Cricetulus griseus: one gene and its partners. The protein of the gene in region 3 interacts with the protein of the main gene of each other region in a pairwise test. Links are inferred from orthologs where the notes say so. Each region holds a gene or a part of one and is shown on either strand. Other genes may lie near its edges. The genes, in order: Adamtsl4, Casr, Flna, Fabp1, Hspb7 and Rflna.

Evidence for each region.
Region 1: the proteins of Flna (region 3) and Adamtsl4 interact in binary tests that used the Homo sapiens proteins (3 or more experiments, as listed by UniProt). The link is inferred for Cricetulus griseus from reciprocal best matches to the Homo sapiens genes FLNA and ADAMTSL4.
Region 2: the proteins of Flna (region 3) and Casr interact in a two-hybrid assay, tested with the Homo sapiens proteins (2 studies listed by BioGRID). The link is inferred for Cricetulus griseus from reciprocal best matches to the Homo sapiens genes FLNA and CASR.
Region 4: the proteins of Flna (region 3) and Fabp1 interact in binary tests that used the Homo sapiens proteins (3 or more experiments, as listed by UniProt). The two-hybrid records come from large-scale screens. The link is inferred for Cricetulus griseus from reciprocal best matches to the Homo sapiens genes FLNA and FABP1.
Region 5: the proteins of Flna (region 3) and Hspb7 interact in binary tests that used the Homo sapiens proteins (3 or more experiments, as listed by UniProt). The two-hybrid records come from large-scale screens. The link is inferred for Cricetulus griseus from reciprocal best matches to the Homo sapiens genes FLNA and HSPB7.
Region 6: the proteins of Flna (region 3) and Rflna interact in a two-hybrid assay, tested with the Homo sapiens proteins (2 studies listed by BioGRID). The two-hybrid records come from large-scale screens. The link is inferred for Cricetulus griseus from reciprocal best matches to the Homo sapiens genes FLNA and RFLNA.

What each region holds. Positions count from the first base shown.
Region 1 is NW_023276806.1:60,816,276-60,821,427, forward strand, and holds the start of Adamtsl4 (ADAMTS-like protein 4), read left to right. Parts: upstream 1-1,983; 5' UTR 1,984-2,210; intron 2,211-2,286; exon of another isoform or gene 2,287-2,406; intron 2,407-3,121; 5' UTR 3,122-3,255; intron 3,256-4,586; 5' UTR 4,587-4,662; coding exon 4,663-4,682; intron 4,683-5,035; coding exon 5,036-5,093; intron 5,094-5,152. UniProt on the Homo sapiens protein: Positive regulation of apoptosis. May facilitate FBN1 microfibril biogenesis.
Region 2 is NC_048597.1:53,490,365-53,495,611, reverse strand, and holds the start of Casr (extracellular calcium-sensing receptor), read right to left. Parts: upstream 3,404-5,247; coding exon 3,219-3,403; intron 997-3,218; coding exon 690-996; intron 1-689. UniProt on the Homo sapiens protein: G-protein-coupled receptor that senses changes in the extracellular concentration of calcium ions and plays a key role in maintaining calcium homeostasis.
Region 3 is NC_048604.1:1,487,253-1,490,875, reverse strand, and holds the end of Flna (filamin-A), read right to left. Parts: intron 3,153-3,623; coding exon 2,976-3,152; intron 2,816-2,975; coding exon 2,597-2,815; intron 2,511-2,596; coding exon 2,307-2,510; intron 1,301-2,306; coding exon 1,113-1,300; 3' UTR 798-1,112; downstream 1-797. UniProt on the Homo sapiens protein: Promotes orthogonal branching of actin filaments and links actin filaments to membrane glycoproteins. Anchors various transmembrane proteins to the actin cytoskeleton and serves as a scaffold for a wide range of cytoplasmic signaling proteins.
Region 4 is NC_048601.1:62,891,071-62,896,371, reverse strand, and holds the start of Fabp1 (fatty acid-binding protein, liver), read right to left. Parts: upstream 3,475-5,301; coding exon 3,408-3,474; intron 1,892-3,407; coding exon 1,719-1,891; intron 512-1,718; coding exon 419-511; intron 1-418.
Region 5 is NC_048595.1:11,830,374-11,835,627, forward strand, and holds the start of Hspb7 (heat shock protein beta-7), read right to left. Parts: upstream 3,163-5,254; 5' UTR 2,665-3,162; coding exon 2,469-2,664; intron 1,944-2,468; coding exon 1,810-1,943; intron 605-1,809; coding exon 425-604; 3' UTR 1-424.
Region 6 is NC_048597.1:104,631,298-104,636,363, reverse strand, and holds the start of Rflna (refilin-A), read right to left. Parts: upstream 3,375-5,066; 5' UTR 3,345-3,374; coding exon 3,156-3,344; intron 1-3,155. UniProt on the Homo sapiens protein: Involved in the regulation of the perinuclear actin network and nuclear shape through interaction with filamins. Plays an essential role in actin cytoskeleton formation in developing cartilaginous cells.

The DNA of each region.
Region 1 (5,152 bases), on a different chromosome or scaffold from region 3:
ACTAGCTCTTGTAGACCAGGCTGGTCTCAAACTCATAGATATCTGCCTGCCTCTGCCTCCTGAGTGCTGGGAATAAAGGTGTGTGCCACCACCGCCCGGCTCTATTTAACCTTTTTTAAAAAATAGAACTGGAGAGATGGTTCAGTGGTTAAAAGTGCTTACTTACTGCTTGTGCAGAAGACCCAGGTTTGTTTCCCAACAACCACCTGGAATGTGCCATGGGCATGCCTGGTGCCCAGGGAGGTCAGAAGAAGGCATTGGATCTTCTGGAACTGGACTACATTTGTGAGCCACCTTGTGGGTGCTGGGAATGGAACCCAGTGACCTTGCAAGTACTCCAAACCTCTTTTCCCTTTCTTGAGCCTCCTTCTCCAGGGTGGCCTTGAACCCACAATGCTTCTGCAGGCCCCAGCCTCCTTAATGCTAGGATCACACTTATTGCCACCAATTCACATATTTCTTGTAACTCTGCAAACCATGATACAGAGCCTGAAAAATAAAAATGTGTAAGCAGCACTTGTCCTGAAGGAATGTAGGGATTTGTTGAGAAAACAAAATATGCAGGTTAAATTTCAAATAAGGTTAAAAATCCTGGCTTATCCCAACACTGTAATCCCATGCTCAGCTGGCTGAAGCCAGAGTTCAAGTTTGGGGTCAGCTTGGGCTACACAGTGAGTTCCCATCAACCTGTCCTATTGTTATCACAGGGCCTGTCTCAAAAACAAACAGTAGCATTCTGCCTTTTTCAGGGCTGGGAATGGAAACTGGGCTTCCTGCGTGTAAAGCTCACTAAGTTACATCCCCAGCCCCAGGACTGTTTTATAGACACACCCATCATCTTTGAGATAGCTCCTGCGTCCACAGAGCCCCATATTAACTCCAAAGTGGTCAATGTTCACTGGCAGGGTCTGTGCTATTAGACTGAGCACTTTCGGGATGGAGACTAACTTCTATGCCCTCAGCAAGAGCTATACAAGAAGTGTTAGGCGGGGCACCAAGGGCCTCTGTTGTTTTGTGGGGTCACAAGACAATGTTGCTAAAACTTCTATATTTGTGTGTTTTGACATTTAGGTTGTGAACCTGGCCTTTAATGGCTGAGTCATCTCTTTAACCTTGATTGGGTGTTTTTGCTTTATTTTTTTAGATTTTTCAAGACAGGGTTTCCCCTGTGTAATAGCCTTGGCTGTCTTGGAACTTACTCTGTAGGCCAGTCTACCCTAGAACTTGCTGCGTTTCCTAGGCTGGTCTTGAACTTGCAGTGGTCCTCCTGCCTCAGTCCACCAAGAACTGAGATTAGAAGCATGCACTACCATGCCCAGTATGTTTTCAAAAAAAATTTACAAGGTTGGACTGATATGGTGGTGTACGACTTTAATTCCAACACTTCCAGGAGCAGAAGCAGGTGGATCTCTACATAGTGAGGTCCAGGTGGCTCAGGACTTAATAGTAGGACCCTGCCTCAAAAATAAACAACCAAGCCAGGTGGTGGTGGCACACACCTTTGATCCCAGCACAGGCAGAGGCAGGAGAATCTAGTGAGTTCGAGGACACCCTGGTATACAGAGTGAGTTCCAAGACAGCCAGACCTGTTACAAAGAGAAACTCTGTCTCAGAAAAACCAAAACGAACAACAACAGCAAAATAAATAAACAAACAAATAAACAAACATCTACCTACGAAAAGACGTACAAGCAGAATATAAATAGAATAAAAAGCATAAAAAGGTAAAACTCTTTCTCATCCCTTCTTCTTCACTCGGGCACTCCTTCTGAGTCATTATTCCACATGAAGATGGACAAACATTTCCAAGCCTAATATACACATCAAAGTCTCCCATTCTACAGACGACACTGCTGCCGCACTGATGTTGAAGTGCTAGTGAAAGACCACAGAGCTGGCAAGCTCTCGAGCTGAAATTCAAATCCAAATTTGTCTGACTCATAATTCAACGTGCATTCCTTCCGCTAAGCTCCGGGGTGTAAAATTTTATGGATGAAGAAACCGAGGCTCACAGACATCCTCGGCCATCAGAGCCACACGGTTCACTGCCCAGCATGGGAAAAGAGGAGGAGATGGCACGGGCTGCGTGGAGGAGAGGGCCTCGGCTTCGGTGGATCTCAGCTTGAGGAGGGCCACATGGGTCCAGTTTGTAAATCCCCCTTGCCCGTGCTCTTCGTGTACAAGCTCCACCCGAAGGCTGCTCTGACAGGGTCGGTGGGGTCCCAAACCCTGGGGTGGGGGCGGGAACGATGCCCGCATGGCCTCTAGCCGTCGGGGGCCGGCGCGTGGCGGGCGGGGCGCGGGCGGCACGGGGAGGAGCCTGCCGCGGGCGGGCGGCGCTGTCCCCGGGCTCCCGGCCCTGGTGGCGGCCGAGGAGGGCAGCTGGAGAGAGCGGGCGCAGAGAAGGTAGAGCCTCCCCGACCCCCGCCTGGGCTCTGATGGTCACGGAACAGCGGACCCTGGGCCGAATTCCTGGGGAGGGGGTCTGGTCCCATTACCCGGGCGAGGGCTTGAGCCAAGATTCCTATTAAGTCACATAGTGAAGTTGGAAAACATACGGGACCTCCCTGCAGCCGGCGCCACCCGCTCCTCCCCGAGGGGCTTCGGGAGGATGCACCCCTACGCCTGACTCCGAGAACGCAGGGATAGGGTGTCCGGGAGGGATGCGGGTGGGGCTCTTCGCACAGCACAGCCTTTTGGGAGAGGTTGGGGGGAAAGACAGACACCTGTTGGGATGGAATTCTAACAGGACAGCAACTCCCCTTTGCCAGTCCAGCCCTTACTAGCGCTCCTTTCTTCCTAGCTCATTTGCCCGAGGCGAGCCCAAGGGTGAAGGGGTTAGCTCCATACAGGTCACTTTCCTTGCTGTCAACGGCCCAGTGTGGGGTGTGAGCAGGAGCAGCCTAGGCTGGTCCTTACCAGAGTCCACCTTGACTTCAGGGTGGCCACCTCCAACTTCTGTCTTCCTCACCCTTGGCACAACAAGCATGCATTTGTGCCGGGAGGGGGAGTCTCCTGCTTCCCTATGCAGGGGAGGGTGGGGTGGACTTTTCCAGAGAGGGAGCCAGGCCTGGCCCTGGCCCCAGGAGCTCTCATCACCCCCCACCCCTCACTTCTCCAGGGAGCTGCCAAAGCCAGCTCAGGACAGGATTATGTGTACTGGGTAGACCACGGAGAGGCAGCAGGGACAGACCTGGGGGAGCAGAGAGAAGCAGGAGGTGGAGAGGGGACCAGCATCGGACAAGAGAGAGACAGGTGGTGCCCATCACTCCTTCTTCCAACTTCGAGGGGTTGAACATGGCTCCTTTTCCACCAGGGCTGTTGTGGACCTCAGTGGCTGGCCCAGCAAGGGGAAGGAGAGGGCTCAGCCACTTTGTTCCTGTCTTCAAATTCCCAAGTTCTGGGGTCCCGGGAGTGGGGGTTTGGCTAGCTTTTGCTTTCCCTCTGTTCTTTGCCTGCCCTGAGCTGGCCCTGTGTTGGCCAGCAATGCTTGGATTCCTCTGGTGGTGCCATTTAGATCCAACAGAAACAGTGTTTTTCCTGGAAAGCAGAGTTGAGATGGGATGAGGGGTGTGGGTGGGAAGGGCCTCAAAGAGAAGGAGGGGGCTGGAGGACAGGGCCTTGGGAGAGACAGGCTATGGAAGCCCCTCTCTACAGCATTCAAGGCTAGACTTCAGGGTGGACTTCCCGGGTATACCAGAAGGCGAAGCTGGTGACTGGGAAGGATGAGCAGCTATGGCTGCATCTCTCTCCTTCCTAAGTGCCCAGCCATTTTGGCTGAACATCGGAAGAAAAAAAAAGAAGAAGAAGAAAACTAGCTGTACATGAACTAGGTTGCCACGAGCCAAGGCCTCGTGGATGCTGGCACCCACAGGGAGGTTAAGTCACCGCCTCTTCTCTAAAGATGAAGCCATTAGCCCACTTAGTTTATCCCTTGGACAAAAAAGTGCCTGTGGTCACCCAGATGTGCCTGGCTGTTCCTTCATAAGGAGCTTTATCTAAGAGAGGGAGAAAGGTCTGGGAGGCAGGTAGGAAACAAATACTCGGGTTTTTTATTTTTATTTTTACTTTTTTTTTTTTTAAGGGGGAAAGAGTTTTTTTTGTTGTTGTTGTTGTTTTTGTTTTTTTGTTTTTTTTTTTTTTGAGATAAGGGTCTTGCATCACCCAGGCTGGATCTTCTGCTCCCCGACTCAAATGGTGGGATTAAGGCTTTTGCCCCCACACTTGGTGTCAAGGGCCCTCTGGTACCTCATAGGGGTACCTGGCATAGCCTGCCTCCTCTAGGTCCTGGAGCTCTGGGAGGAAGAACCTCCTGGTTCCCCCTTCCTCCACCCTGCCCTTCCTCGGGCCTCCAGAGGAGCTAAGTCCATCTTGGGCCACAGGGAGGGAACTAAACTGAACTGGAAGGCTGAGGTCAGACCCCCACCCTTGACTCAGCAGATGACAAAGACAGTGTTCCTTATTGCTCCCACCCTTAGGTCCTAGAGGGGTGGACCAGTTTTCCCTCCACTCTGCTGGTGCTGTGCTGGGACAGCCCTTTAGTCTTCCGGCAATCTGCAGGGGTAACCACTGTGCTTCTTCCTCAGAGTATCCTCCGTGCCCAGATGCCAGAGTAGCTAACCTGCCCCTGCCTCCCAGCCCAGGGGCAGTCAAGGGAGAGCAATGGAGACCTGGCTGGGCAGGTAAGAGCAAGGGCTGTCAGTCTCTAATAGTAAGAGCAGGGAAGGGGCCCGGCAGTTGTGGCACACACTTTAAACTTGGGAGGTAGAGGCAAGTAGATCTCTGTGAGTTTGAGGCTAGCCTGGTCTACAGAGAGAGTTTCAGGGCAGCCAGGGCTACACAGAGAAACACTGTCTTGGAAAACCAAAAAAAGAAAAAGAGAAGGTAAGGGATTGTTAGAAGGGGCCTGGCAAGTGACAAGGAACTTCTGCTTCCTGAGAAGTTGGCAGCCAGGATGTGGGGAGCCTGGGTGGGGGAGGGCTATGTTGTAACACTTCTGGCTCCCTCTAAAGTCCCCCACCCCCTTGGTGTGCAGGCTCTGGTTATGTGTAATGCTGTTTCTGCCTCTTCTTCAGCTCTGCCGGAATCAGGAGGTGAGCCCTAGCTAAGTGATCGGCTGCTACCCTGCTCAGGGTCCCTCCACTCTACCCTA
Region 2 (5,247 bases), on a different chromosome or scaffold from region 3:
CTCCATTTCAGAATGTATGGGACAGTGATTACGCTTCTATTTTTATGGGGAAACATGCTTTATTTCCCTCTGAGCTAAAGCTGACAACAGGGAAGGAGAAATGTTGAGGCAACAGAGTTAGGGGTAGATATTTTTGGTTTGAATGGTGAGACTTTACTCCTTTTGGCAAAAATAGAATGTCAGTTACTAAAGGAGTGAACTGGGAAAAAACAGAAAAAAAAAAAAAGATCAAGTTGTATCCATGCAAGTTATGTTTAAAAGAGTACTGGAAGAGCAGTGAAGGTCTCATTGATGTAAAGTAAAGGTCTCAGAGACCTCAAGTGCTCATGATACGGTGCTGCAACTACGTTTGTGCCACAGAGGACACTGCTAACATGCAGCTCCCCAAACCTGTGTCTCCTCCTCCCTACCTCTGGTGCCCATCTAAGGAGATGTCAGTTGGGCTGGAGAGATGGCTCAGTGGTTGAATGGTTGAGCTGTTCTTTTCGAGAACCTGCTTTCGAGAACTCCCAGCACCCATGTTAGGTGGCTCACCACCACTTATAGCTCCAACTCCAGAAGATCTGACACCTCTGGTCTTTGAAGGCACTGGCACATGTGTACACGCCTACACACACACACACACACACACACACACACACACACTTAAAAATAATAAAATTAAGTCTTAGAAAGGGAGGCATCAATACCTGGGGGATGTAGAAGAGCCCCAGCAGGTTGGCTACTGCCGTGGAGACCCCTGAGCCAGTTGCTCCCACCACTGCAATAGTCGAAGGGATGTGCTCTGAGCAGTTGCAGAATTCATCCAGGTTCAGAGAATCGATTTTGTTCTGGGCAACAAAACTTAAGGTGGCCTCCAAGGCCTTGGAGACAGTGTTACAGGTGTCGAATATCCTGTATCCCAGGGTCATGTTGGGAAGAAGGGCAGGGCTGCTGTTTATCTCCTCGATGGCAAATATCATGGCTTGTAACCACCGAAATCCTCGGAAGTTGTACCTGGAAGAAAGACATGGAAGTAGTGGGAGACCTTGGTCAGCTGTTAGCAGAAGGGCTGCCTGAGCTCGGCTTGAATCTGGGCTCTATCACTCTGCAGTTTTGTGATGTGCCCTTTGAGGGTCAAGGTCCTCTTGTGTGAAAACAGGAACAACGTTTTCCAATTAGGCTGGCTTTGGAGATGTCATGAGATAGGTAAAATTCTTAGCACAGCATGTCCCTTTGAATTAGGGAACAGTAATTAAAGGACTACGTTGGTACTTAACTGAATAATTTATAGCTGCATTCTCTAGTGTACCTAAGGCATGGCTGGGTGTGGTGGTGCATGCCTGTGTGACGGCAGCACTTGGCAGGTTGGAGCAGAAAGGCTGTGAGTTTCAGCCAGTCCTGAGCTTCATAGCAAGTCCTTGCCTTGGGGGAGAAAAAGTCAGCAGAGGACTGTAAATAGATTAGGATATCAATATGTAGGAGCCTAAAAACAACCTCAGGTTTGCAGATTTGTCACAAATTTAGACAGTGGCATTCCTGGAGCTTAAAGTAGAAAGCAAAATGAACCCTTTGTAGGTAAGTATTTGAAGACCACATACAGATGGTGGTATGAAATGCCTTAAGAATTGTAATCTTACTGGGTAGAGGTGGTGCATGCCTTTAAGCCCAGCACTTGGGAGGCAGAGGCAGGCCTATCTCTGTGAGTCCGAGGCCAGCCTGGTCTACAAAGGGAGTTCCAGGACAGCCAGGACAGTTACACAGAGAAACCCTGTCTTGAAAAACTAAACAAAAGAATTGTTTGCTTTGGATTAATTTATAACTTATAATTTCTATTGTCCTTATGGCATGAACAGAAATGCAGTTTTCTGTTGATCTTTCACTTTCATTTTCCAGCTATCAGGAAGTTCAAGGGGAAACACTGGGTCCCTTTTAAGAAGCTTCAGGTGCAGAGGGAAAATGCTGCTCTCTGAGAAGCTGAGTCACATGTGACGTGAACTCATGGCCTCTGAGGTGTCTCCCATCTAAGCGAGGCGACACTGTGGCAATCACATCCTACTACTGAGCTGTCTGTGACTGCATGCCACATCCTAAAGGGATCACAGTCAAGGAGGGAGCATCAGATGGGGGACAAATAGAATGGTGAGAGCTTCAAAAAATCACATGTAAGAGGATGAGAAACTGAGACTATTGGCTTGGAGAAGATTTAGGGGGACATATTAGCTGCCTCCAGATGTTCTGAGAGACCTCAAGATGCCTACGAAATGTGATGTCCCATCTGCCAGGTATGTTCTCTGTGTGTGACAGAGTCAAAGGTAGGCAGTGAGGGGAGTAGGACAGAGGAAGGAGGGTCAGCTTTTTATGAGAAAGATGCTTTAACAGAAAAAGGTTCCAAATGCAATGGACTGTATTTAGGAAGTGCTTGCTTGAGTGTTAGTGGCTACACTCTTTAACTGAATTCCTTTATTAAAGGTGACCAACAACAACAAAAAAGGGTGAAGCAGCCAGTGTTCATGGATCACTGAGCATATGGGTCAAAGAGAAATTTACTATGAAAGTTTGCAAGAGCTAAAATGGACTTCCTTCTATACATTCTTTATTTTATTAGTTCAAATTAGGAACAAGCTTGCTTCAGATGTCAATCCCTTCTCCCTCTCCCTCCCCTCCCCCCCAACATCCCACCTGCTCTTAGCCATCCCCCCTCCACTCCCCAGGCCCTTCTATATATTCTTAATTACTTAGTTGATGAATGGGTAGATTCATTAATTTTGCAGGGTTGAAGATAGAACAAGTGCATTCTAGAAAGAGCTGTAAAACTAGGTTAAATTTCCAGCCCTCTGTTATCCTTTTTTATTTGTTTGTGTTTTTGAGACAAGGTCCTGCTACTGAGACAGGATCTTTCTATGTAACCTGGAACTCTCAATCCTCCTGCTGCACTGCTGGAATAGCAGTATGTACCATCCCATGTCTTGCACTGAGCAATATGGTGCTCTGGCTACGAAATGTCTGGTCCTTGGCCGGCCTGGTGTTTTCTATTCAATACCCTTGGTATTTGTTTTGTTTTTGAAAAATGACTTCTTTAGGGAAAGGAAAGAAGAGTCAAAACACCTCATCATGATAACCATTGTTTAAAAAAAAAGAGAGAGAGAGAGAGAAAAGGTTTTTAATGTTCTTTTGGGCCCAGTGCAGCTTTTCTCCATCTACCCAGAGATGGACAGACCCTTACAGCTTTCCCTTACCTAATGCACTCCACGGACTCTGGTCTTGACTTCAGATCTTGATCTTTGGCTGCTACTCCAAAATGGATAGGAAAGAGACCCCCAAGGATAATGTCCCCCTTCTTCTGGGCTCGCTGGTCAGGCCCATAGGCAGAAGAGTGCCAGGCGAGAGCCAAGAGGGCCAAACAGCAGCTATAAGATGCCATGGCTCTGCCTTCTCTCTGGGGGGACAGTAAAAAGTGCTAGTGGTCTGGGGGCCCAAGAACTTCCCCCTTTGGTGCAGTTCACGACTTCTGGGGGGGACACATGTCTACAAAGTGGCTAATGACAGAATAGCAGTGATTGCATTTGTTTCTCCATTTCTGCCTTCTCCATTGCAGAAGTGTAGGGTGGTTGGTTCTGGAGTCCTGAGTGACATCATGTAGCGACTGCCTCAGATGCTTTCTGAAAAAAGAGAGAGGGAGACAGAGACAAAGTGGATTCAGATAAACCTACTTCCCATCTTAGTACAATGACAGAGGTAGCCGGGAATTTCCATCTAGAGGGGTTGAGGGGTAGCATGTTGAGAAGCATGGCTTAGGGTCACAATTTGCTGTAATGTAGCTGTTCTCTGTGAGACACAGAAAATTTCAGTTGCCTGTATTGCAGAAGGACTGCATCCAGTTTTGAGAGGCCACGGTCTAAAGAGGCCATCTGTAAGTGTAGCCTGCTCTGCAGCTGCTGACTGCAAACACTCATCCTTTTGCATGAAGGATGCATGGAAATGTCCCAGAAGTAGCAGCTCCTTCAGTTAAAATACCAACAATACTCTATCCCCAAAGAAAACACAGAACAAGTTACATTTAAGTTCAAATCTGACTTCAGATCAAGAAAGAATGTCAGAAAAGACCAGTCATTCTTCATTTATTTTGATAGCTCCACACCCTTTAGTTAAGATATCTGTTTCCAGTTTGTTATGTAGTAGTTTACAAGACTGTTAAGAACAGTTCATGTGAAACACAGCCTCTTCAATGGTGGATTGTAACATAGAGGGTCATATGATTGGATGTGGGGGACCCTGGAAATTTTGACAAGGGCTAGCAAGATGGCTCAGTGAGTAAAAGTGCTTGCTATACAAGCCGATGACCCGAGGAACTGAGTTCAATTCCTAAAGGGGAGAATGGACTCTTAAACATTATTTTTTGATCTTAATATGTGGAGTGGCAAACATACCCTTCCCTTGTTCAATTTTAAAAGGAAAACAAATTTTGGCAATAGTAAAGACTTTATAAAGAAGTATTGACCAGAAATTAATTCTAGATCAAATGCATGATGAATCTGAGTGCTTCTGGCAGCTCTTGCCCAGGCTGCATCGTGTGATTTCATCACAGACTTGGTTCTGAACACACAAGTACCTTGGCACTAGCCTGCTACCACACTGAGTGACAACCTAGCGCTTCTGGAAATGCCTCTGTTTAAGATAGGTGTGTGTATGAACTGCAGTGTTTCATTACACATATGAAGTTTTCTGCTCTTAAACCCAATGGCTTAGTAGCAGAAAACAGATGTTTAGTAAGTTCCTATTGTCATTCCTTTGCGTGCATTGAATCATTGTCTCTTCAGATTGTATTGTGTCAGAAGGTTTGATTCTTAAACTTTGTCATTTAAGTTGATGGCTTGAATGCCTTTTAAAAAACAAACAAACAAAACCCCACCATTCAACAAACCTGGCTTGGGGTTGGGGCATATTTTCAATAATTTCTGAAATGTCCCTAAACAGACTTCTGCCATTTTGTACTACATATTCATACAACGTGGAATGCTCAGCATTGATGATTATAAGTCAAATATCAAAGAACTCTCAAGAACGTTGAAGATGAGGCATTGTTTTTAGCTGAGATTTAATTTTTATGTAAAAATAAACAAACACACCTTTCTCATTAGTATGCAAACTTCTGTTGTCTTTAATAAATGTTAAAATTATATGCATGGTAAATGTTTTATACAGGATCTCTCTGTAGGCCTGGCTTGCCTGGAGCTCTCTCTGTAGACCAGGCTGGCTTCAAACTCA
Region 3 (3,623 bases):
CCAGCACTCAGGAGGCAGAGGCAGGCCGATCTCTGTGAGTTAGAGGCCAGCCTGGTCTCCAGAGCAAGTGCCAGGATAGGCTCCAAAGCTACACAGAGAAACCCTGTCTCAAACAAAAAACAAAAACCAACCAAAAAAGAATACTTAGGACCAGAGCACTATGCTTCCTTCCGTAGGAATGGGTATCCCTCCTTCATTGATGAAGAAGTATATACACTCTGTTGTAAGAGGGAGAATCTTTGTAATGGTGCCTTATTTTGTGCGTTTGAGACCAGCCTAGTCTACATAATGAGTTCCAAGCCAGCCAAGGTTACATAGTGAGACCCTGTCTCCAAAATATCAAAATAAGCCAAGCAGTGGTAGGGCACACCTTTAATTCTAGCACTCAGGAGGCAGAAGCAGAGGCAGATGGATCTCTGAGTTGGAGGCCAGCCTGGTTTCCAGAGTGAGTTCAGGACAGCCAAAGCACCTCAAACCCACCTCAAAAGCCAAACACTAAGAGCTGGTATTATTATGTTCATGGTATCTAAGAGACGGCTAGGCCTTGATGCTATTTCTAAGACAGTTTACCTGATCATCACTGCTAGCGATCACCAACTAGCTAGCAATTAATCTTAATGCCCCACATTTTGCCTACTTGATCCTATGCCATTCTAGGTACATCATATACCCATCTCTGTGAAACAAAGAGCAAATACAGACTGTGCTACCTGGAGATCCCACAGCCTATACCTATGCCTTGTTGGTACCCTTGCCAGTTTGGACTTCATCACTCTTTCCATGAAAGATACAGACACTCACAGGACAATGGAAGCAAAATTTTATTCCTCTTGTCTGGGAAAGAGAACTAGCAAGTGGTTGTACATAGAACTCCCACCCTCCCAGAACCAAAGGAGTCAGGCGCTGCCACCAAATGGCTCCCTTTACCCAAGTGAAAGCCCAGAGAGGCAGGTGAGCACAGCGCAGGGCAGGGGAGACTGCAGTGACAGAGTGGCCAGAGTGATCTAAGGGAGGGCCCAGGGCTCAGGAAAGGAAAATGGACTTCTTGGGGGTGGGACAGGTGTGAGGTTGCTCTTTGCTATGGGAGATTCTGGCTGGCATAGTTGTCAGGCTCAGGGCACCATAATGCGGTATGGGCTGCCTGGGATATGCTCATCACCCCACTTGACCACCAGTGTGTACTCCCCTTTGTCCTTGAGCAGGTAGGAGACACTGTAGAGACGGCTGCCCATGTGTTTCACCAGGATCTCTTCACAGGGTGTCCTTGGGCCATGCACCCCCACCAGCAGCATGTTGTTACCTGAGGTAGGAATAGGCCTCAGTGACTAGCCTTAACCCCTTCCTTCAGCTGTAATTGCTCTGAGCCCTTCTTCCTATTCTACATCCTGTTCCTTGCCTGTTTAGAACAATACCCCTTCCCAACAAGCTTCTCATACCCCACCTAGGCCACCAGAAGACAAATCCCAGGTCTTCCAGGACATTTTCTTCACAGACACAGACAGACAGACAGACAGACAGACAGACAGACACACACACACACACACACACACACACACACACACACACACACACACACACGTACGTCTTTTAGACAGGGTTTCACTGTGCCTTGACTGTCTTGGAACTAGCTCTGTAGACCAGGCTTGCCTTGAACTCAGAGATCTGCCTCCCATGTGTTGGGATTAAAGGGGTGTGCCACCACCAACTGGCAATGCATTTTACATGCATTGGTGTTTTGCCTACATGTATGTCTGTGTGAGGGTGTTGGATTCCCTGAAACTGGAGTTATAGATAGTTGTGAACTGCCATATAGATGGGTGCTTGGACTTGAACCTGAGTCTTCAAAAAAGAAAGGAAGAAAGGAAGAAAGAAAGGAAGGAAGGAAGGAAGGAAGGAAGGAAGGAAGGAAAGAAAGAAAGAAAGAAAGAAAGAAAGAAAGAAAGAAAGAAAGACTGATTATATAAACTGGGCAGTGGTGGCACATGCCTTTAGTCCCAGCACTCAGGAGGCAGAGGAGGCAGGTGGATCTCTGAGTTTGAGACCAGCCTGGTCTACAGAGTGAGTGCCATATAGGCTCCACCCTGTCTCAAAAAAAAAAACAAAATAACAAAAAAAAACCCACAAAACCCAGGTCCTCTGGAAGAGCAACCAGTACTCTTAACCACTAAGCTACTTCTCCAGGAAGCCCAAATATAAAGTAGCCCCCAAAGCAACAATCATACCCCTAAGTTCCTGTACTTTCCACATGTTGACTGTCTTGTGATTTCTGACTTTGTACTTCCAGAGCTAGAAACAGGGATACTTACCTGCTTTGCTGCAGTCTACTGTGAAGCTGCTCTTCTGGCCTACATAGGCCTTGCTCAGCCCCAGGCCTTTGGCTACTACCTTGCTGACATCAGTGGGACTTGGGCCTGAGGTTGCAAGCTGGGGAACAGTGGCAACTTTTGTCAGGGAGTCCACAAATACAGATGTTGTCTCATGAAGACTGTGGTTACTAACAAGACGGGGACCTGCAGGACAGAATAGGTGAAACTGAGAAGTAGCTAGAGAATATCAAGGCATTGAATGGGCACCAACAGCTTAGCCTGGGGCTCACCTGTGACCTTGGCTTTGAAGGGGCTTCCCCCAATGTGATAGGGCCCACCATACTTGATGGAGATGAGGTAGCTTCCGGGTGCCATAGGGGTATAGGTGACACGGTAGCCCTCAGGGCACTCCTGGCAATCCATCTTCACCTTGGAGGGGCCATCAATGGTAACGGAAAGGGCACCAGCTCCTGCATTGCTTGTGTTGACGATAAACTCAGCTGGGCTCCCTGGGAGCATGGAAGGTCAGGCAGAGTGTATGTCACTGGCTCTCCTGTCTTCAGCCACCCAGCACAGCCTTGATACTTCCACATGCTTCCTGTTGCTAAGAGCTTGGATGCAGGGCCCTAACAACTGCATCCACACTCAGAAATATACCCATGAACCTACCTGTGACACCACCTTCCAGGCCTGCTCCATAGGCGGACACCAAGCCTGGGTCCCCTCCATGCCCAGGCTCCCCAACTCGGATCTTGAAGGGACTTCCAGGGATATGAGTACCATTGAACTTAACATCAATCAAGTAGATGCCATTCTCTCGTGGGATGAAACGCACAGCATACTTATCTGAGATGCAGAAGGACATGTCATGGGCCTAGGGTACTTTTCAGTATTTAACAAGCAAATGGTATCTAAAAGGAATAGCCTTAGTACTAACCATCCCTTTCATTTTTCTTGCCACCAGCAGGAACTCAACTGCTCCATGGAGACCCCTCTGCTTCCAGAACTGTACTGGGTACCCACCCCAACAACACATACATCCTGAGGACTAAGATTATAGATACCTAAGAAGTCTACTGTTGAGTCCTTTGGACTGACAAGCAAAATGCCCACATTGTTGCCTCCTTAGACCATGTACTGTTAATACCATGCTAGCAACAGATTAGCAGCAGGTTTAGCAAGGAATTTGCTTCAGGTCATGGACCTGTGGGGAGGGGGAAAACTAGTATGCTTCAATAGAACTGCTATTCCTCTAGCCACAGGGATAGACTGTCTCTGTCTCTGTGTCATGTATGGCACTTCTAAGGCTTTCTTCCT
Region 4 (5,301 bases), on a different chromosome or scaffold from region 3:
TGTCTGTCAGAAAATCACCCTAAGAATCCAGCCCTTGTTTGGTCAGAACAAGATGGCTGCAGATGTACTGAATACAAATCCTCACAGTCTACAGCATGAACAGCTGCCCCTAGGGCTTCTTGAGTGCTGAACAACTGTGAGAGAGATTAGTGCAGGGGACAGGCCCAATTCCTGGAGCTCATCTGGTCATAGCCTTACATTCCCTATTTAGAAAAGTGTTGTTCAAAAGACTCAAGACAATACGTATCAACTACGTGGAACATAACCGATCCTCTTAAGTGGTAGAAGACACTGACAAAAGTCAAGGTCTCGGGGAGGAGAAGATGGGAGAATGAGAGATATCAGACACCTGTCCCCCACCCTTTACTTCTCCATGCCCCTCAAACACCGGGATGGCAAGACCAGAGTGCCAACTTACATTGGTGATGGTGTCGCCGTTGAGTTCAGTCACCGACGTCATGCCTTTGAAACTTGTCACCATTTTATTGTCTCCTTCCATCTTAACCACTGCCTGCAGGGAAGAGAGATCATGACCCGTGAGGAAAGGTCTAGCGATGAAGCTAATGAGGTTGCTTCCCTGTGTGGTAACAGCTGACGGTGAGTCAAAGGTCCTGTTCATCTCCAGTTCTCTAGTGCTGAATGGAAACAGGGGTGTTTATGAATGAAAGAGAATGTCAAGCTTGCCTTAGTGGTTCTCTTGGGGTGGGGGTGGGGGAATCTAAAATAAAATGTAAAATCCCATTTTGGATCTTATGGAGGGAGGTTGTAGCAGAGGCCCAGCCACCAGCAGCTGTGGGGACAGTTTGCTTTGGTAGCTGTTTACCCTTTCCTATTATGGTGCCAATTCCAAGCCTTAGACATCAAAGATGGCAGTAAATAGAAGCACAGCTGTGGCTGGGCACAGTGCAGCGCTTATAATCCCAGCATCCAGGAGGCAGGAGCCGGAAGATACTGAGTTTGAGGCCAGTGTGGGCTACATGTCAAGATGCTGGGGAAGGGGGGGGGAGAATAAGGATAAAGGAAGCAAGGGAGGGATGGAGGAAGAAATCTAGTCATGAACAAAAGACACAAGGTCAAAACTCGGCCTCCACAATGGGCCGTTGGAAAACCCATGACACCCCACCGCTGGCCATGAGCAGATCAGGAGAATCCCCTCCACCTTTCACCTTGACGTGCAAGAAAGGCGGAAGAAGTAAGCACAACCTGAAAAGGTAAAGAGACTCCTGCTGTGCCTGAGGCACAAGGCCGCCAGGAAAGGCAGGTGTAGAGAGAACAGATGCACAGCCTACTGACTACCCTGGGCTGTGCAGGCTTCATAGGGAGGGGCAGATAACAGGACCCACAGCACCTGGATCTCTCTGCTATTACCTGTCACCACTCACACAGCCCACGGCCAGCTGGCATTGCTGCCTGGAACCACCACCCCGAGATGAAGCTGCCCTGGCTCAGATAAAGGTTTTCACTGACAGTGATTTCCCGGCTCTCTCCTTGGAGGACTCGGAGCCAGGAGCACTGTTCCTGGGAGACCATGTGACTGAGGATCCTACTCTGTGCCCATTTTCTCCACCTCCTCCATAGTGAGAGCCCAGAAGCCACGAAATCCCTGAGGCAAGGAGAAGTTTCTTCTCAGAGCTCTCTCAGTCTCCTGCCTGAAGTGGGTTCAGCGACATGGTCTCTGTTAGGAGAATTTTTGGGGAACAGGAGGCGGGACTACATACCTTGACCTTTTCCCCAGTCATGGTCTCCAGCTCGCATTCCTCCCCCAAGGTGAACTCGTTCTTGACCACTTTGGGCCCATAGGTGAGGGTGAGTTTGACATGCTTCCCGTTGTGCTCGATTTCTGAGATCCCCTTGATGTCCCTCCCCTTCTGGATGAGGTCATCAGGCAGACCTGCAAGAGCCCATGTAAGTTAGAGACCGGAGAAGAAGAGGGTTCACTGCAGGTTCCCGAGGCCCCACACACTTCTATATAGCAGACCTGTGAGCCTTTGGCCTCTGAGAGGGAAAGTCAGTGGCCTGCAACTATCTTCCCACTTAGTATTGTTAGTTTTTGAGCCAGGGTCTCTTGTAGCCTAGGCTAGCCTTAACTCATTATATAGTTGAGCATCTGATCCTCCGGCTTCCACCTCCCTCGTGCTGGGATTACAGTCATGTGTCTCCATACGGGGCTTATGTAGTCTGGGGATTAAACCCAGGGCTCCGTGTGAGCTAGACCAGCACTCTAGCCACTGACCTGTGATAAAGACCCTCATTTGCCTGAGGCCCTTTCCTCTGCGGCTTCCTGCTTTTTACTTGCCCTCCCTCCTAATTTGTTAGTGGCCTTGTTCTTAGGGTAGGAACACTTCATCCTTCAGGATGTTTATCTTCCAAATCAAATGGTCCCCCACACAAAGTGGGACCAGGCCAGGCAATCTTGCTATGGCCTCTGGAGTCAAGGCTCTTGTGGGTAATGAACGAAAGTCCTTTGCCCTTGAATAGGGCTTTGCAGATTTCGGAGCAAATCTGTGCTTTTACGTGAATGGAGATTCACAGCAAGAGTAGAGAACCTGTCATACAACTAAGGGGGTCCTCAACTTCGTGAGCTGTGACTTGTCTACAAAAGAAGCTCTGAGTCCTGGGATGACCTGAGTGTCCTGTTTTCCCTGCTCTTGCTTTTTCTCATCTCCTGCCTGTAGGCACCCTCCTTCATCCACTTCCTCTGCCCACAGGGCTGTCTCTTCCTGGAACATACTCTTTTCTCCCTGGTCCCAAGCCACCACAAAGTCTTCCCTCCTGTACCCTGGGGGAGATGTGGGGTATCTAAATAGGGTCTCTGGGACCCAGCACCTTCTTCTAACTCCAACTCAAATACTTCCTATGTGGTGACCCTTGTCATAGCCACTTCCCCTTTCTTGGCTTCAGTTGTCTCAACAGTGATAACTCAGTTTTATGGTGAGTATTAAATGTGGGCATTGCAGTACCTGGTATAAAGTCATACATATCAAGGGACACTTCATTGCATTTATCTCCAAATAGTTGGTCACTACTGTAGCTTTGTCTCCAAACATTGGTCAGGGTTGTAGCCTATCACATTCTGTCTCCCTGGTGTTTGTACAAGCACAGTGCTTGAGTTGTGGTTGGTCTTGAACCAATATTTACCAGAAAAGTGAATGAATGAATGAATGAATGAATGAATAAGGCCATGAACCAGTAGACACACGTACATCATTCCAGTTCAGTGTCATCTCCACAGCTCCCAGTGACCTTGTCCAGTGAGGAAGAGACCAGGAAAGTCACTATAGCACGCCTCAATTTGGGATAGCCTGGACCCTTCTTCCACCTCAATATCAGACCTTGACTAGCTGCTGATGGCAGGGCTAGACCCTCTTTCTCGTTGCACCAGCTCTGGTGTCCCATCCAGCACTCACCCATTGCCTTCATGAAGGGCTCAAAGTTCTCTTGGCTCTGCAGTTGGTACTTGCCGGAGAAGTTCATGGTGGCGATGAGGCTTCCTTTGCACAGCTGACCACAGCAGCTCTGTCTGCCAGGCCACCCACTGGTGGCTATTTTATAAGGGGCTTCTTCCTCATCAAATATAGGCCATAGGTCAGTGGTTGTCGATTTCTTTATGGCCAGGTTCAAACATTAACTCCTGAGAGCAATGGTCAACGATAAAAATCAGAATGGGCAAGGCAGAGGTTTGTTCTAATTCAGCAAACATTAGTGAGTGCCAATCAAGTGCAAAGCTCTCTGTAATGTTGCCTTTATGGTGACTTATCACCACTAATGAAATAAGTGTGTGTGCATGAAATGTATGTGCACAGATGTGTACGTGCCGCAGATATAGGTGAATCATGTCTCTAACAGTGTACACATGCATATATACACATGTGTATGTGTTTTTACACTTGTGTGTATGCATATATTTATATACATGTAGCTACATATGTACACACACATATATGTGTTTATGTATATATGTGTGTTACATGGGGAGAAATACCTTTAAACTCAAACCTTTTTCACATAACCTTGTATTTGTTTCTCAACCTTTTATTATTAGACAAACATAATTTTACAAACATGTCATCAGTATTGTATCCTGAGAATTCTTCCTCAATGATTCCAAGTATTTCCACAGTCCAGGCAGACCTCCCTTTTGAAGTGCTAACAGGGCGTCTCTGTCCGCAGATGCTTACATCTCTACAGCATAGGTGTAGAAATTTAGATGTGTTATGTTTGGTAAAGACAAGTAAAGGGAAGGAAGAAGGCATTGCCTGCTGACTTGCTCCATCCCTGCCTCAAGGCAGGAGCAGGGAGCTGAGTTGATACATGAGAGTGTGGTCTGACCGGAACAGGCCTTGGGCAGAAGGCAGAGGGATGCTTCATCCCCTATGGAGATGCTGACCCGCCCCCCCACACACACACACAGTTCTTGTGTTTGAGGCAGTTCTCAGCAAGTGCCACTTCACACCCTATTTCTCTATTCCATCTAGACTTTAGCACCAGCCTCTTCACCCATAGCCTTTAGTTCTCCGTCCTCTAGTCCTCTCTACTATGAGGCTACATAGACTGTTTATACATCAGAACCTGGGGTATGCCATGCCTCAGTTTTAAACCTCTGATGGCCCCTAGTGCTCTAGGGCTCACAGGTCCTGGATGACACAGAAGATCCCTGTGTCCACTGTCCTGGCTGTGATGACTACTCTCAACAGAACTTGTACGTCGTTATCATGAGCTCCCCGCTTTGTCTTGGAAAATGTCTGTCAATGCCTAGACTTCTAGCGCAGCTGTTAGGCTTGCAAAAGCCATCTCTAGTCAGACCCCCTTTCTCTGGAGGTCACAACCATAGGGCCAGCCAAAGGTGTCAGGGGTGTCTTCTCTGTGTTGGAATTTGTGTCTCTTCTGCTCTTTCTCCTTCTCCCAGCTAATGGAGCGCTTTATAACACTCCCCACCCATCCTGCCTCCTTCATTCAGCTGGGATGACTTCTGTACATTCTGTCCTCACTATGCTCGATTCCAATGCCTGGCACATGGGATGAGCTCAATCAGTGATGGGTCAGCAAAGGAAGAAACATCAAAAGATAACGAGGCCGCGGCTCTTGTGGTTAAGAGGTAATGAGAGATATGCAATAGTCAGCTCAGCAAACCAGTCCTGTAATCAGTGAATCATGAGGCCAGGAGCAAAGCGACCTGAGGGCGAGAGTGAATATGCACATGCGCATGGGCATGCGCGCACATGTGGCTGGGGCTGGGCTGAGAGCCAGTGGGGAAAGATGTGAAAGGGATGTCAACTGTTGCTCCGGCTGACAGCCCGCTCC
Region 5 (5,254 bases), on a different chromosome or scaffold from region 3:
TGGTTATCTCTCTGGCTTGCCTGAGGCAGTCCACCTAGGCCAGCAGCCCTGCTTGTGGCCAGCTCCTATATTCCACTTGCCAGGAGGGTCGTCCCTGGTCCCCTGCCCTGCAGAGATGTTTCTCTGTCCACTGATCATTTGCTTAGCCCTCAACTTTCTCCCCAAGTCCATCCTTCAACCCCTCTCTTGTGAACTAAGACAGGGAGATCCTATCTGAGAGAGAACAAGAGGGTCTTGGGACTGCTCCTGGGTGGAGAGGAGGGCCCTAGTTTGGGGGGAGGTTGACCCACCTGGGGCCTAAGAGTGTGTGGAGTGACTGGACCGGGCTGAGATGTTCTGGGGGCCATCGTCAGGGGTCAGGATGACCTCACCAGCAGGCCAGTAGAGGAGATTCGGGGAGGGGAGGGTAAGGGTGGGGAGACCCTCAGATTTTTATCTCCGTCCGGAAGGTCTGCTGGACGTGTTCTGTGTGGGGGTGGCGCCGTGCCCGGATGGTGAGGCTGCCATCCTCTCGAAGGGCCGAGGTCACCGATGTAGGGTCCACATCGTCTGGCAGTTGGCACTTGTGAGCAAAGGTGTTCATGACCGTGCCATCAGCTGCCAGCTGGGGGAGGGATGACAGGTCAGGAGTGGCTGTCCCAGCCCTTGCCCCATCCTGGGTCCTGGTCATGCCCAAATCAAGCCAGAGTCTCTGCTTTGCTCTCTGTCCTGTTACCCCACTGCTATCAGATGTGAAAGAGCTGGCCAGAGGTGTGCGGTGGCCAGGAGCCAAGGGCTCTGCAGAGGGGCTCCAGAGGTCCCAAGGGGAGCTGTGTGTAAGATGGGTTAGGTGGGGCTCTGTAAGGGTTGAACTTGCACAGGAGTAGCTGGAAGTCTGGGACTCTTGAGCCGTGGTGGGTAGATGACACAGCTGTGCCCTCTGGATCCCCAGACACCCTGAGTGTCCACCACCAGGGCCACCGCCCTCCCCCGAAGCCCAGCCAGCACATAGTGTCCATCGGAGTCTTCTGGCTGAGTCACCCTTGAGACGTGGGGCTGGCACGTGCAGCCAGTGGCCCTCAGTCCTCGAACCCCTAGCGGGGCTTCCTAGTATCCTGCCCTAATTAGGGGAGCTAGCCAAGCTTGGGAGGTGGTCAGGGAGGCCTTGGCAAATGTCCTCTAAGAATCAGCATGGTCCTAAGGACTGCAGCAGCCACTGTCTCGGCTGGCCATGCATTCTCTGATGATCTAGCTACCCTGAGACTCTGACTAAGGTACGTGGGGTTCAGGGTGGGTGTGACTCTGAGCTCCGTGGCTCCTGCTCAGCCTCAGGCCCAGTGTGGAGGTACCACAACAGGGCCCACGCTTCTGGCCCTGGGCTGAAAGAAGGGTGGAGGGTGCCATGAGTGGACTGTGCTGCCCAAGTTGGATCAGCCACTGCCACCTTCTTCTACCTTCTGCCAAAGAGCTGTCCTTACTCCACCATGGTCACTTCCCTTCTCTCCTCACCCACTCATGTCTCAACCGCTCAGGGTCCCTTCTGCTCACATCCCAAGATCCCTCTGTCATCCCTGGAGGATCCCCAGGTGCCATGACATGGGCTCCAAAAGACAGGTTCTATGAACCTTAGGTTGGAGAGGGCCATGAAGGTCCGTGGCCTGTGAGCCCACCAGGAATGGGCTGCAGTTTGTCCCGGAGGCGTGCAGACAGGGAAGGAAACAGTGGTCAGTGGAGAAGACGGGTGAAACTAGGGGACACAGAGCCAGCTAGACCAGGCAGAGTTCCGGGGAAGGTGGGGACCCTGGGGGGGGGGGCAGGACCAAGACTTACCTTCTCAGCCCGCACCTCAATATGGTTGTTGGAGGTGGTGACAATAATATCTTCAGGGGAAAAGTCTCTCATGTCCACCGTAAACTCATAGGCGTCGCCAAGGGTCTTGACACTGCCTTGTCCCCCAGGTCGGGCTGTGGACAGAACTGCTATAAGCTGGGCACCTAGCAAGCCCCGAACCTGAAAACCTGGTCTCTGCTCTTCCCTTGGGGAAATGAATGGCTCTCCTAGACAAGAGCCCCTCTCCTCACTCCTGCAGCTTACCTTGAGGGAGTTGGGGGTGGGTGCGAGCCTCACTCTATTTAATCTGTAATCTATACATGCAGATCTCTCCTTTATCCAAGGCCTGGAAGCTCTGGGGGGCCAGCCACCCCTCAATCTCAGCTATCCCTCTAGGGCTCCCATTAGGACATGGGCTGTGTGGGACTACTGGATTCACATCTCACCCCTAAGGTCACCATTGTCCCCAGGAGGCCCACCTGTATCTTAACCATATATATCTGTCTTGGTGGCCAGGTCTGTCTTGGCAGCCACATGTACCTAGAACCCATGCAGCACCTATTCCTGGCAGGTGGGGTGGCCACAGCCTGCTCAGGGAGGCCCTGGAGCAGACGCTCCTATCTGTGTCTCTCCCCTCCCCTCAGAGCCCCAGCACTTGCCTGGGAAGGCCAGGGGCTCCGAGTGGGGCCTCATGAAACTGCCAAAATCCTCTGAAAACATGCTCAAAGCCTTCTCCATGGGTGGGTCCTGAGCTGGGAGAGCCCGGGAGGCTGAAGAAGAAGAAGAGGAGGAGGAGGAGGAGGAAGAATGGAAGCTTCTCTCCGCTCTGAAGGCGGAGGAGGTCCGGTGGCTCATCCACAGGCAGCAGGGACCCTGTCCAGGCAGGGGCTGGGCTGGAGAAGCGTGTGGGTGCAGGCCTCCAGGGAAGCATGCCGGGGCCCTGACTGCCAGCGCTTTATAAGGCCTGACTGTCCCTGGGCCCAAGGCCAGCCCCTTGTCTGCTCGCTAAATTTAGGCCTCTTCATGGCCCAGAGGGGCCTGGAAATCTTCTTGGGAGAAATGGCCCTGCTGACAGCCTGACACACAAGGGCCGGGTTGGAGGGCTGAGCTCATCGCCTGGTACTCCAAGCCCAGAGCTCCAGCCCCAAGGGCCTCTGTAGTGGCCAGGGCAAGGGCAAGTCTTGCTCTATGCCTGCCCCAGGACTTTGTGGTTTGCTGTTTCCCTCCCTAGCCAGGGACCTGACTCTCCTCTCAGACTGGTTCTCAGGGCCTGTGCCTCCCTAATGAGACTCCTGAGGAGAGGGCATGTACAAGAGCCCTGCTGACTCTCTGTGAGACACCTGCAGCTCCAGGTTCAGCTATCTCCTCAGAAAGGTTGAGACAGCCCAGGGGGCGGGGCTAGAACACATAGGTGGCCCCTGTCAACTCCCACAGGAACCCCAAATCTACCCCTCCCTCCCGTCTCAGGTCTAAGAATCTGTTGTAGCAGAATAGAAGAAAGCTGGCAGCTGGAGGTGGGGCTGGCGGGGTGGGGGTGAGGGGATTGGGCCCAGCTTCAGGGAAGGGGCAGATAATTTGATAATTATCCTAAAAGGTCTAGGAGGCTAAATTGCTAGCAATAGTCCCTCCACCTCAGGCTCAGGGGAGTTGCCTGCCCAGGATCGTAGTAGTCACAGGTCAAAGAGAACACTAGGGACTCCCAGGGTGTCCCTGGGTGTTGCTGTCCCTTCCCAGCAAAGCCCTTTTCCATCTTCCATGGCTCAAAAAGAGGAGTTTTTAGGTCAGTTTCTAGACCAGGAAATGGAGCCTGTCCAGAAGGGAAAGACTGGGCCTGAGCACGTTAGAATGGTTGGGGTTCCACCCGAGATGTGCCCGACCCTTGTGTCCAAGAAGCCCCTTTCTTTTCACTGACTACTAAGTAGAACTCCAGACTCTCTGATGCTGGGTAGGAGGCAGAAGCCAGGAGAGACACTTTCAGGGGGCAGGTGGCCCACCAGTCCATCAAGCAGTTTTGGAACACAAATCTTGTGCTTTCTCCCCATATAATCACCCAATCCTCTCTCCCGTGGAAATCTCCAGTTGCTGCAGCCTACAGGGGCTCCTTGTGTCCTGAGTCCCCAATACTTGACAGTGTGACATAGTCTTTGTGCGTTCTGACACCTCTCTTGGTACCCCCTCATCCCCGCTCCTGGGTCAGGATCACCTGTCTCTCCCCCACTAACCCAGAGTCCCTGGAGGTGAGGGCTGTGCCTCTTGTTTCTGGGTTCACAGAGCTAACTAAGACTGGATCTGGTGCTATGGGAAGTCAGGACAGGACAGGGCAGAGCTGGGGGGTCAGAGTGATGGCTGGAGCTAAAGGTGGCGTGTGGAGGCATGTGGCATGTGTCACCCCTAGACATCTCCTGGAACTGGAGTTACGAATAACGGTGAATTACTCATGTGGGGGCTGGGAACCGAACCGGGGCCTATCCTGGGTGATGGGCAGTTGGCAAGGCTTCAGAGAGTCACTGGTATTGAGGAGAGAGGAAAAGAGGTAGGGTCGGGTGGGGAGCCCCCCAGAGCAGCCTGCCAGGGAAACAAGAGCCAACAGCTAAATGCAGACACGCTGTCACTGTCACGGTGCTGAGGGCCTGAGTCACTGCTGCTGGGTGTCAGCTCCCTTCACTCCCCACACCCGCCCACCGTCCCCCTCCTTTCCCCCACGTCCCTGAGGAGTCATCCATATAAATATTGAACCCTCTGGCTTCAGTGGCCAGGCAGGACCTCAAAAGGTCATGGAGGTCATTCTCTGACTCCAGGCAAGGTTCTGTCAGATCACAGAGACAGGAATCCAGTCCCTAGATGGGTGTGGTGACGCATGCCTGTCATACCAGGAGGATCAGGAGTTCAAGGCCCGTCTCGGCTTCATAGGAAGTTGGAGGTCATTATTTCTGAGATCCTGTTTGAAAAGAAACAAAAACAAAAACAATGGTCCCCAAAGGTCTCTCCAAAGCCCAGGGAACATCACAGGAGAGGGACAGAAGGGCAGTGGGAGTGGAAGGACGGGGAGGGAGGCATGTGATGGCGTGTGGAGGCGTGTGACGGCGTGTGGAGGCGTGTGGTGGCGTGTGGAGGGCATGTGGTGGGCGTGTGGAGGCGTGTGGAGGCGTGTGGAGGCGTGTGGAGGCGTGTGGAGGCGTGTGGAGGCGTGTGTGGCGTGTGGCGTGTGTGGGCGTGTGTGGGCGGTGGTGGCGTGGGGTGTGGCGTGTGGAGGCTGTGGTGCGGTGCGTGTGGGAGGCGTGTGGCGGCGTGTGTGGGCGGCGTGTGTGGAGCGTCGTGGCGTGTGGAGGCGTGTGGCTGTGCGGCGTGTTGCGGCGTGTGGCGCGTGTGCGGCGTGTGGCGGCGTGTGCGGCGTGTGGCGGCGTGTGGCGGCGTGTGGCGTGTGAGGCGTGTGGTGGCGTGTGGA
Region 6 (5,066 bases), on a different chromosome or scaffold from region 3:
TCACAGCAGGTGCCCCAACCTTGGGGGCTGGGCTGTGGAGACGGGAAGGCAGTCCCCTGGAAGTGAAGCCGACTAGGCTGGAAGGAAGCCGGCAGATCTCCCTGCCTCCCCCACTTCCTCTGCAGGCTTCACCCACCCTGCGCGCTCCTGCCCTTCTACAAGACACCTCACCTAGGCCATGGGTCTGTTGAGCCCAGTCCTCTTTGCCTGCCAATTTATTGTGCATTCTATCCACTTGTTAACTTGTCCATCCACCTATCTACTTTCTCATTTTTCCTTCAGTCTGTCCATCTGTCCATTGTCCTTCCATCCTTCCTGACTCCAGGCACCAGCCACCTCATCTCTCATACAAGCCTTCATAGAAATGAAAATGCAGAGGCCCCAAAGTAGTGGCATCTATATCAAGCCCTTCCCACTCTCCTTGGACCAGAGCCCAGCTATGCACCCACCTGGGAGGAGGAAGCCAGCTCCTTTGGATGGTCCAGAGTGACATCAGAAGCACACTCCACCCTGCAATACTGACTCTTATGAATCAACCAGGAGAAACCAGGGAGTTGGAGTCTCCACAGCAGTGGCTCCCCACTCCACTTCTTGTCACCTGTCATTCAACACCCAGAGAGTCCCCCAGGTCAGATCCCAAAAGCCATCTGCAGCCCCCCCCCCGCCCCAGGGGCAATAAACCTGGGTGGGGTGCAGGCAGCAGTTGCCCAAACTGCTTGTAAGTGCTGGGAGCCTTCCTCAGCCAGCAGGACATGGCTCCCCGCCATACCTATCCCACACACAACAGCTGTGATGGAATTGGGGGGGGGGCACCTGATGTGTATCACCTGGTGTAGAAGTCCAGCTTGGAACCCAGAGTGGCAGACAGAGCTAGGGTCAGTCTGTTTTCATCTAGCCCTGCCTGGATGGCTGACCATTCTTGGGGTAAAGGTAGCAGCCAAATGGTCCCTGCTCCAGCCAATGCATCTTGCTCTCCTGGGGCCACATGGGAAGGCAGCACACAACCCCCAAACACACACAAAAGGTCACTTTGTACTCTTCATATGCACTTTTCAATTACATCCCTGATTGGGGTTTCTAATCTGGGGATCCTGGGAGCTCATGGTACTGTTTTTTATAAAATAAAAGACACAAGCCTATTTAAAAAACAAAAAACAAAGCATTAGCTTCCAGCCTCCTGACCTAGACCCTCCTCTTGTTCTCTGGTCTCTGCCACAGGACACTGGCACATGCCACCCTCTCAGACTGAGACACATTTCAGCCCTGTACAATAGTAATCCACTCCCTGGTTTGCTCTGGTTTTCTGAGGCCTGCCCTTCTGTCGTCGTCACTCCCCTACATGGCTGCCCATCGCTCCTGGCACTGTCACACATCAAAGGAAGTGAATGTAGCTCCCCACTAGAATGACAGTTCTGCACAATGACACTGATGCTGGAAGGAGCCAAGGGACATGTGACCACCTTCACATAGCTTCTTCCTTGCACAGGACCCCAAGATGTGAGATAGCCTTCTATCCCACGCAATAGATCAATCAATTGGCAATTGTCAGCCTGCCAACACCTGGGCCTAGGAGTTACCCAAGCAGGGGGACAGGGTGGCCATTAAACCACAGAGCACAGAAGGAATGGAATTTCAAGGAGGCGAGTAACCTGGTGGGTAGTAACTGGTAGATGGGTGGGGCCCCAGCTGGAGCCCCAAACCTGAGGCAAGGTTGCCATGGCTACTACTTCCTCTCTTTATTAAAAGCAGCACCTTGACCCCATAGCTATTCGACTTGTTTTTCAGTTTAAAAATTTTAAAGGTCGTTAATTTGCTACACTGTGAAAACCAGGGCAGGTTTAAAGGCACACTGGAACCAGGTTCCCAGGTTCTATTCTGGGCAGCTTTGGGCAACTCCCTAACCATTTCTGTGCCTCGACTTCCTCCAGGAAATGGAGGTCAGGGGCAAACAAGTACTCACTGGCAGAGAGAGAGCCATCCCTGGCATGAGGGAAATATCAGGTGTTCTTCATTACCTGGGCCCCAATGGCCCCAGGCTTCCCTGCCTATACAAAGTCACAGAACTGGGGAAGTATAGCTCTGTAGCTGGCACCTACTTAGCCAGGAATGGAAACAATAACCGCAGCATCAACCAGCCGGACATGCTGTTCTCATGGCACCTATGGCTGGCACAGTATGCATCCAGAACTCCCTGCAGACGCGGTCTCTAGGTCACAGAGAGTTGGAGCAAATCTTCCTGGTCCCTTCTTTCTGACCTCTCTCGGAATACACCCTGAGATTTCTTCCGGACCATGCAGCCCACACCAGGTGATCCACAGCTGCAGGAGTGCTGGCCTGTCTGTCCCCAAGTTTCCCTGAGAACAGCATTGCTCATTTGTCTTTACTCCTAAAGTCCTCGACCAGCCCCCCACCCTCCCCAAAGAGAGGTGCAAGTTCAATTCAAGACAGGCTTCCAACTTCCCTGAGTGCTCGAGTCTCTTGGGGAGATTTAAATAAAAGTTGAGATCCCTGAACTGTGTGTGCCCTGGACTATGTCAATGCCTGGAGGGGAAGCAGGCTGGACCTTGCTTAAAGAAGTTCAAATGCCTACTGCACTCTGCACACCTTGGCGGGAAAGGCCTTAACACATCCATGTGGAAGATATCAAGCCACAGACAGGGTCTGCCACAAGGTTCAAGTGTAACCTCTGCTGTGTTCAGCCGCCCTTTCTTCAAGTTTCTCCCTCTACCCCATCTCCAGAGCAATCCATGCAAAGCCGGTCCAGCAGCCCCTAGGTCCAGCTCCGCTCTGAGGGCAGTTCCGCTTCTACACCCACAAGACAAAGCCCGTGGAGGCTTTCAGGCCGAGCTGCGTTTTCAAAACTGTCTCCATTTAGCAGCCCCGGGATGGGTCCAGCCCCAGGATGGATCAACAGGACAGGAGACAGCAGCAGGGACGGAACCCACAGACAGATGGCCACAACAGGCCCCTTTGCAGATGGTGGACTTTGGGAACACCAGGACATTACGCTGTACTCTAGCCCACCAGCAACCCACCCTGAAACTCCCAGCCTACAGGTCCTGGTGAGTCTGGTGCAACTCCCTGTCTGCCTCAGGAGGGAGGAGACCATGCTGGCTTTTGCATGGGCCTCCCACTGCCGGGTCCCCGCGTCTTACCGCTGGTGCCTCATTGGGTCCTGGGGGCTCGGTGGTGGCTCGGGCATCTAGGGTGCCTGGCGACAGGGCGTAGAAGGGAGGGCTAGGACTGGGACTCGGGGGCAGTCCCGAGTCGGGACTGTCCAGCAAGCCGTCGCGGCTCTGCTCACGCGTGTCCCCCATGGCCTGCAGATGCAGGTGACCCACCATGACTGGCGGGCACGGGGCGCGGGCCCCAGCAGCTCGGGTCCCCGCCACCACTGGGCCGGAGGGGAGACGAGAAAGCTCTGGCCTGCGGCTCCAGCTGAGACCCACTCCCGATGCAAACGCCTCCAGCCGCCAGCTGAGCCGCCTTTCCCAGGCGCCGCCCCCTCCCCGCCCTCCTCCTCCTGCGCCTCTCGCTCCCGCCCTGACCACCCACCCGGCCAGGGCAGGGTGAGGACTGCAAGGTCTCCAGCCTGCAAAAGTCACCTCCACCCCACCCCGGAGGTGTTGAATGCTGACTTGAGTCCAGAGTCACCTCAAAAAGAACGCTGAGCCACCAGTGGTGCCATTGCTGGAGTCCCTCACCTGGACTGAATCTCCAAGAAAAGCACCTTCAGCAACCTGCGGGGAGTTGGGAGGGGGTACTTACAGTGGGGAACCGAATGATCAAAGGACCCAGGATCAATATCTGCCCCTGGGACCACCAGAGTGCTCACCTCCTTTAGCTTCTGTAAATTTGTCTGGGCAGCAATGCCCGCCTGCCCGGGGCCACCTGGCCCAGGTAACAAGGACACCTGGTGTGTAGATAGCACTCCCTTCATTCCAGTCGTTTCTCCCCACCAGTATGTTTAATTCTCCAACTCTGCCTGTGAATGCTTGCTTGCCTTTGATCTTCATTTTCTGGAAGAAAATGGAGACACAAAGATGGTTAGGAAGTTACCCAAGGGGTGGGGATGGGGGGAGCAGACTTCCAGAAGTCCCTAACACCTGCTGTTGTTGGGTTTCTCTAAAACCTGGTTCTCAGCCGTCCTAATGCTTCGACCCTTCATTACAGTTCCTTGTGTTGTGGTGACCTCCAACCATAAAATTACTTTCATTGCTACTCCATAACTGTAATTTTGTTACTGTTATAAATTGTAATATAAATATCTGTGTTTTCTGATGGTCTTAGGTGACCCCTGTGAAAGGGTCCTTTGATCCCCCCAGAGGGTGGTGACCCCAAGGTTGAGGACCACTGCTCTAAAAGGTCTCATTCAGGGACAGGGCTCTGCCTACCTTGTCCCACTTTATCTCCCATGGGAGCTGAACACACAGTTCCCATTCTGCCTGCTTTTCTGACAGGGACCAGAGGGCATCCCACCACTGCCTGCCTCCAGCCTTACATCTGGACACAGGATCCCAGATACCTACAGATTACTTGGCAGGATGGCATACAGCGTAGGGGACAAGTGACCTCTGCTAATCCATCTACCCCACATCTGCTGGACAGAGGGAGAGACCCCAGCTTCATAGTGGCCCCTGGAGGTTCGTCCTCCTTGTAGGTGGGCCAAGTTCTCTGGCTGGCAGGTGTGCCTAGACCTGGACTCAGGTGCAGCTGGCTGGCCTGTCCTTAGAACTACTCAGTAGGTGGGGGAGAGATAATACACCAGGTGATACAGGCTGGGGCTGAACAAAGGTACCACCAGGCAGTTGTGCCAGTCAATCAGGGAGGGCTTCCCAGAGGAGGTAACACTTGACCAGACATCCAGATAGAGGGAATAGCAGGATGTACAGGGAACAGCAGGACGCAAAGGCCCTATGGCAGAGAGAGCAAGGTGCCACCAGGGGCTATCACAGTGGAGTGGCAGGCTGAACCCTGTTATTAGAAAAGCATACAGCCTGTACATATGTCATCTAGGAATGAACTTGGGGCTTTGGCTGCCTGAATGAAACCCACAAGAAATTTCA